Linked DNA regions of Xenopus tropicalis. The protein of the gene in region 1 purifies or fractionates together with the protein of each later gene. This does not show direct contact. Links are inferred from orthologs where the notes say so. Each region holds a gene or a part of one and is shown on either strand. Other genes may lie near its edges.

What was found.
Region 2: the proteins of slc30a2 (region 1) and mettl9 purify together in Homo sapiens (co-immunoprecipitation; 3 studies listed by BioGRID and IntAct, with this or other methods). This does not show direct contact. The link is inferred for Xenopus tropicalis from reciprocal best matches to the Homo sapiens genes SLC30A2 and METTL9.

The regions. Positions count from the first base shown.
Region 1 is NC_030678.2:76,866,090-76,869,736, reverse strand, and holds part of slc30a2 (zinc transporter 2), read left to right. Parts: intron 1-1,559; coding exon 1,560-1,665; intron 1,666-3,198; coding exon 3,199-3,333; intron 3,334-3,647.
Region 2 is NC_030685.2:25,171,595-25,176,160, forward strand, and holds the end of mettl9 (methyltransferase-like protein 9 precursor), read left to right. Parts: intron 1-3,461; coding exon 3,462-3,664; 3' UTR 3,665-4,169; downstream 4,170-4,566. UniProt on the Homo sapiens protein: Protein-histidine N-methyltransferase that specifically catalyzes 1-methylhistidine (pros-methylhistidine) methylation of target proteins.

The DNA of each region.
Region 1 (3,647 bases):
AACTTTTAAAAACTAGGAATAAAGAGAGGTGTAGGAGTGGTAGTGTGCCCTACCTGTATTGTACCACTTTGTGATAACTTTTAACATAACCACTGCATAGCCAGCTATGGATACATAGCCATATATTCTGTGGCAGGAAGCTTGCCAACTCTTTGATCCTCTCCAGTGTAATGCAGTAAATTTCATTTAATTTTATGGGTTAAGGTGCTTCACCCGTAGCAATGGCCTTTCTAATTGCTATTTCTAGGGTAAGCCTCATCCAGTGCAATGAATTTCTGAAAGCTCTTTGCCAAAACTAAACCGAAACTAAAACCGATCTACAGGTGTTCAATTGCAGCAGGGCAGTTTAGGTGGCCACATGCAGTCCAAAATTAGTTGCGGATTCAGTGACTCCAGATTGATTCAGCATCTTACTGGTTTTGTAGGATATGCCCAACCAATAAAGGGCCAGGAATCGTCCAGCATTTGTTGCTGACTCAGCCACTCCTTCCAGTCTAGAGCTTATTTGCCCCTATGGCAGCCAAAGTCAAAATCTTATTGGCCTTTTGTTGGTTTGAATTTGAACCCAGACAATACCTGTGAGGGGACAGTCTGATATCTGCAACCTTGTTTTCAAAAACAGTTTGGACTCTTTAAATAAAATGTAAATTAAAGGACCCTGGAATGAATTGCAAATTATTTAAACCCTTTATTTAATTGCAAATAGTACAGTGTTTCACAAAGTGGTGTACCCCTCCCCATATTTACTTCTTAGAAAGCCAGACTCTCTGGCTGGTTGTAGGGTTAAATGATTTGCATAATCATTCTCTTTGAATTTATATTTTACAGTGTCCCAGCATTTTTGAAAACAGGGTTGTATTAGAAGGTTTTGTAAATGTTGCAATGCCAAATGAGTTGCTCTTCGCCTAATTTGGCCACCGTCGCTCTGTGCCAAATTGGACTTGTCTGATCATTTGCGCTCCTACTGTGTCCTGTTGGGCAAGCAGTCACATGCTGGTGTGGTTCATGTCCAACAGAACTTTCAGACCTTCTTGATAGGTATTCGGCCTATTTGTAGCCAGATATCTGTGGGCAGCACCTTGGGAGCCCCATCCCTCATGGGTCATCAACTGCCTTCTTGGTCTGGAGAGGCTGAGTTGGCAGCATTTTTTAACTTGTTTATGGCTAGCTTTACCCTCCAGAGACTGCAAATCCATAATGAATATTACTGCTATTTATACACTTCACTGGCCATCCCTGAACAACCTGCCTGTTGAATTCAAACTAAAATTTTAGAGGTTGGCACAATTAAGCATTTAAATTCAAAAAGCCACTATTTCCAACCATTTCTACACCAGCAGAGAAAACCATATGTGGGCCCCTAGCCTTTAGAGTACTCTAGAGCTACACCGGTTCAAGTATTCCCTGTCTCCTTCAGTGACCTGTAGTTAGTAGGGCCTTTTACTTTTCTATTAATCTGTATGGTTTACTGTATAGGATAGTGCTTACTTTTGTTGTTGTAGAATGTTGAATACATTGGTTATATATTTAACAGTTTAAAAATTATTTTGCCTCAACAGCCAGAATATAAAATTATTGATCCTATATGCACATTCCTGTTTTCTGTGCTGGTTCTGATCACAACACTGACCATCCTTAGGGATGTACTTCTAGTCCTTATGGAAGGTAAGTTATAATATATATATATATATATATATATATATATATATATATATATATATATATATATATATATATATATATATATATATATATATATATATATATATATATATATATAATGTGTGTGTGTGTAAATAAACTTTATGGGAATGAGAATTGGTTACTTAAGTTGGTCTGAAAAATGACCAAAGTCCATCAAGTTAAGCCTTTCCAAGTGAACCCAGCACACACAGGCCCATACTAACCTAACTATACACTCACATACATAAACTTTATATACCAACAGTAATAGTAACTGTAGGTTTCAGTATTACAGTAGCCTTGGATATTATGCTTGTTCAAGAAATCATCCAAGCCCCTCTTAAAGGAATTAACAGAATCTGCCATCACAACTCAGAAGGACATTCCACAACCTAACCATGGAAAACCACCTTCAGGGTGGCCTCTGGTGCGCTGATCATTTTTATGGGAAAAAAAGAACACCCTGTCTATAATCCCATCTACTGTAATCATGTCCCCTCGCAATCACCCCTTTTCCAGAGAAACCACCAACCTTGACAGTCTAACCTCATAGTTCAAATCTTCCATCCCCTTTACCAGTTTAGTTGCACGTCTCTGCTCTCTCTCCAGCTCAAAAATATCCTTTAGGACTGAAGCCTAAAACTGTATACTCAAGGTCAGGCCTTGACATTGAACCTCATTTTCCATTTTGCTGCCCAGTTTTCTAATTTTGTCAAATCCTGCATGGAACTTAGTTTTGCACAAGTTAGTGTCATCTGAAGAAATAGAAACAAGACTTTCATTGCCCACCTCAAGGTAACTTATAAACAAGCTAAAAGCAAAGGACCAAGGACTGTCCCCTGCATTACCCTACTAACAGCACTGGTCCAATTAAAAAATGTTCAGTTTACAACCACTCTTTGTAATCTATCCTTCTGCCAGTTCTCTGTCCAATTACACATATTATGTTCCAGGCCAATATCCCTCAATTTTACCATTACCTTTCTGTGTGTTACTGTATCAAATGCTTTAGCAAAGTCCAAGTATATTACATCCACTACGTCCCCAGAGTCAAGGTTCTTGCCTCCTCATAAAAGGCAATTAAATTAGTCTGGCGCATTGTGTAACACAAAACCATGCTGGCATAAAGTCCCAGTATTATGATTTGCAATGTATTTAAGTATCCTACCCCTTATTATGCATTCCAAAAACTTTCCTACCACTGATGCCAGACTAACAGACCTATAGTTTTCAGGCTGAGAATGGGATCCCTTTTTGAATAACGACACCACATTAGCAATTCGCCAGTCTCTCAGCACCATGCCAGACCTCAGTGAATCCTAGAAAATTAAGTGAAGAGGTTTGGCAATCACTAAGCTTGTTTAATAACCTTGGAAGAATAGCACCCAGTCCCAGCTCAGTGCTCTAGGAACCCAAACCCTTTCTTCCTTCACCAAGACTTTAGTGGTTGCAATGCAGTAAATGAGAAGGTTTGTTTGTGTTCTTTTTAACCTATGCTTTTCAATATGTTTTTAGGAACTCCAAAGGGAGTGGATTTTAACCTGGTAAAGGACACTTTGCTTTCGATCGATGGAGTGAAAGCTCTACATAGTCTACATATCTGGGCTCTGACAGTCACCCAGCCTGTGCTTTCTGTTCACATAGCAATCAGTAAGTGGCAGCTCCATCATTGGACTTTAATAAACCTTTTAATTATATTAGGTGCAACCGCAAAGCTGATCCTTTTTTTTTTTTTTTTTCTGTTAAGTGGTTTTGACCACTAGCAAAATTAGAGTGACATGTAATGCACTGTGAAGTGTAAACATTTGTAAAATAACTAGTGCTCATTTATTTTCATTGTCAGTTACCCCTAGCAACCAATCAGCTTTTTCTTATAGTAAACTGATCAAAACCATTCAGTGAGACCTACAAAGACCCATCTGATGATAAACCGCATCAACCCACCAATGCACTCCTCACTCTAC
Region 2 (4,566 bases), on another chromosome or scaffold:
CAGGGAATCCAGGGACATGTGCAAGAGTGGGGGTAGTGACTTCTTATCTGCCCCCATCACCAGCTTGATGGCACTTTGATCATTAAAATGATACTCTGGCCTGCTTATATTTCCTTTAGATGCCATGGAAAGGTCATTTCCTGAGCCGTCCTAGTTCTAGAGTTATTTATGCCCAGCAACATGATAAACATTGGTGAAAGTTTGCTCATTTTCATGAATCTTTGTGTCTCACAGAATTATTTGTACACGAGAGGAACTTGTGGTTTCCATTGTGCAACTGATTTCTGCCAGAAAGCCCCTTTAGTTAAGTACAGCGGGTCCCCATCTGTTGGCATGGAATGGAAATGTGCTCATTATCATTAGTCTTGGGGATTTATTTACTCTCACTGATACATAAGAGACTCTGTTTCACACCTGTATATTAAAATGTTTTGGCGCAAATCTTTCCAAAACCTAAACCTTTTTAATTAACTTTTAGTATGACATAGAAGCTGATATTCCGAGATCATTAGCAAATGATTTTCATTTTTTATTTTTTGTGGTTTTTCATTTATTGAACTTTTTGCTCAGCAGTTCTCCTGTTTGGGTGGGTTGCCAGGGTCTTGTTTACCTTCGCAACCAGGCAGTGGTTTAAATGAGATACTTGAATATGAATACGAGAGCGACTGGATAGACGAGTAACAGTTATAAAAAATTGTAAGCTCACAGAGCAATAGTTTTGTTGGCTGCTGGAGTCAGACCAATTGCAAAGTTGCTAGAAATAAGACCTTCTATAACATAAAACTAGCTTAAAAGTGAACCACTCCCTTTAACAATAGTCTGCAACACAGTGATTGTGAAAGTTGATTCTTTGGTTGCTGATGCTCATCAGGGGCATTATTGTCTTCTGCTTTTCTCTCCCTTAATACTGCAATACTGTCATGGGAAAACACATCAGTGTCCAGCAGAATCCTGCATTGAAATCGTTTTTTTTAAAAGTGCACAGAGATTTTTTGTTTATATTTAACTTTGAAATTTCACATGGGGCTATTATTATTATTATTATTACATTTATTTATAAAGCGCCAACATATTCCGCAGCGCTGTACAATAAGTGGGTTACATACATTGGACATACAGAGTAACATATAAAGCAACCAATAACCGATACAAGAGGTGAAGAGGGCCCTGCCCAAAAGAGCTTACAATCTACAAGGAGAAAGGGTTAAGACACAAGGTGTGGGAATGGGCAAAATCAGAGTTAAGCAATGTGAGAGGCACAGGTTATTGGTTTTAGCAGCACAATGCGGTTATGTTAAATTAAATGAGAGTCATTTGTTTGAATTTTATCCTGGATGGTAGGGGAAGCCAGTGCAGGGATTGGCAGAGCGGCATGGCAGGGATTGGCAGAGTGGCATGGCAGGGATTGGCAGAGAGGCATGGCAGGGATTGGCAGAGAGGCATGGCAGGGATTGGCAGAGCGGCATGGCAGGGATTGGCAGAGTGGCATGGCAGGGATTGGCAGAGTGGCATGGCAGGGATTGGCAGAGAGGCATGGCAGGGATTGGCAGAGCGGCACGGCAGGGATTGGCAGAGCGGCACGGCAGGGATTGGCAGAGCGGCACGGCAGGGATTGGCAGAGCGGCACGGCAGGGATTGGCAGAGCGGCACGGCAGGGATTGGCAGAGCGGCACGGCAGGGATTGGCAGAGCGGCACGGCAGGGATTGGCAGAGCGGCACGGCAGGGATTGGCTGCAGGGGCAGGCAGGGATTGGCAGAGCGGCACGGCAGGGATTGGCAGAGCGGCACGGCAGGGATTGGCAGAGAGGCACGGCAGGGATTGGCAGAGCGGCACGGCAGGGATTGGCAGAGTGGCACGGCAGGGATTGGCAGAGAGGCACGGCAGGGATTGGCAGAGCGGCACGGCAGGGATTGGCAGAGTGGCATGGCAGGGATTGGCAGAGTGGCATGGCAGGGATTGGCAGAGAGGCATGGCAGGGATTGGCAGAGCGGCACGGCAGTGATTGGCAGAGTGGCACGGCAGGGATTGGCAGAGAGGCATGGCAGGGATTGGCAGAGCGGCACGGCAGGGATTGGCAGAGTGGCACGGCAGGGATTGGCAGAGTGGCATGGCAGGGATTGGCAGAGTGGCATGGCAGGGATTGGCAGAGAGGCACGGCAGGGATTGGCAGAGCGGCACGGCAGGGATTGGCAGAGCGGCACGGCAGGGATTGGCAGAGTGGCATGGCAGGGATTGGCAGAGTGGCACGGCAGGGATTGGCAGAGCGGCACGGCAGAGGAGGAGCGGTTGGAGAGGTGTATGAGCCAGGCAGCAGTATTCATTATGGAGAGGGGACAGGCTCTGAAAGGGAAGGCCAATTATTAGAGAGTTACAGTACTCTCTTGGGTATCTCTCTTGGTGGCATCTTGGGCGATAAATGATCATATTTTAAAAATATTTCTTTGGTGAAAGTGACATGATTTGATAAGTGACTGGATATGAGGAGTGAAGGACAGGGCAGAATCAAGGATAACCCCAAGGCACTGGGCCTGGGAAGATGGGGTGATGGTAGAATTGTTAACCTGTATAGATACCTCTGGAACAATGTGGGCGTTGGATGGGGGAAAGAGAACCAATTCCGTCTTAGAGAGGTTTTAGTTTAAGGGAACGTTGGGACATCCAAGTGGAGATAGGGGACAGGCAGGAAGAGACGCGAGTTAGGAGCTCTGGGTTGAGATCAGGAGAGGAAACAAAGAGGTGAGTGTCATCAGCATAAAGGTGGTACTGAAAGCCGAAATAATTGATTAGTTTACCAAGTGAGGAGATATAGAGAGAAAATAGTAAGGGGCCCAGGACAGAGCCTTGGGGAACCCCGACAGAAAGAGGCAAGGGAGAAGGTGAAGCTCCATTGTAAGAGACACAGAAAGATCTATCTGAGAGATAAGATGAAAATCAGGACAAGGCAGTGGAGAGGCTGGAGGAGAAGAGGGTGATCCACAGTGTCAAAAGCAGCTGAGAGATCCAGATGTAATAGTAGCGAGTAGTGGTTTTGGCTTTAGCCGATAAGAGATCATTAGTTGGATTAGAGCAGTTTCTGTGGAGTGTTGTTGTCTAAAGCTAGAATGTAGGGGATCCAGGAGGTTATTGTCAGAGAGGAAAAGTGTCAGTCGGTTGTAAACTAGGCGCTCAAGTAATATTTGCTATGTAAACAGTGTAATTTAGAAATAAAAAGTACACCATAAAAATCATGGCAGTATCCCTTTAAGGCAGTGTCAAACAAAACCTCCATGGCATTGCATTCTGTGTGCACATAACATTCCTCTTTATATTTGCTTTGGGAAATGCCACCCCCTTCATGGCTTTATTGACCTTTTCTGAGCCTGGGATAGCGATCTAGATACATCTAGATAAGATATATTCATGTAATGTAGTATTTACGAAGATAAATCCCAATAATGGTGCCTTTCCTCTGCCTTTCCAGGTGGCAAATGGGAGAAGCCTTCAGAAGTCATGGAAGTGACCGGAACAGTTTGGGAGGAGCAGGTGAACAGCCTCGCCGATGTCTTCCATGTAGCAGGCTTTGCGGTGGAAGCCGTCACCCGACTCCCTTATTTATGCGAAGGAGACATGTACAATGACTACTACGTATTGGACGATGCCGTCTTTGTTCTTCGGCCAATATAGAAGAGCAAGAGAATGGTAGAACGATGGGAGAGCAGTTCATGCTCTTGGACTAAGAGCCACCAAGGAAACCATTCTCTCAGCAAGTCAAATTCAATTCCTCACAGGCCAAAATTGTATGTATTTCCCGCAGGACTTGGTTTGGATACATAAATCTATATGTGCGTGGGTGTGTGTGAGCGTGTTTGTGTGAAATCTTACCCGGGCCGGGGGTGGAGGCAGAGTTGGGGTGCTTATTCTTTTTAACCAACAGTGCTACCTTTCCAAGCAGCGGAGAATTTTAATGCTGCCAATGCCATCGTGCCGCCAGCCGGCCCTGTGACAAATTGACACAGGAACAGGAACGAGAAGGACTTTTCTGATAAAGTACTGATCCTGGCAATAAAGTTTGTCGTATTTAATCAACTGTGAAATATACGTGTTCTTCCATGTGATTTAATAGTCTTGTTTGCCATTTTGAAGCACATCCTTTTTTTTACCATGGCAATAAAAATTGTATCAAATGTAAGGATTAAAGTGCGTTCTTTTTCCTTTTTTTGTATCTCACACTTCTTCAGCCGCAACTAAGTCCCTCACTATATTTAAATGGCAAGTAACACAAACAACACAACACACTGTTCAGGAATATACATATATATTTAGCCCTATACATATATATATTATACAGCCTTCAGAACTGAACTCAGATTACATATCAAGATGTTACTCTTTGTTCTCAGCTTTTGCTATATTTATATGCAACATGGTGTCCTAGGTTTGATTCCAGGCATGGCACTGTATGTTGTCCCAGTGCTTGTGTGGGTTTCCTTCAGGTGCTCCAGTTATCTCCCACACTCTAAAACCAAACAGGCAAGTTAATTGGCTCCTATTAAACATCACCCTAGTATATGTGTGTGTGTGAATGT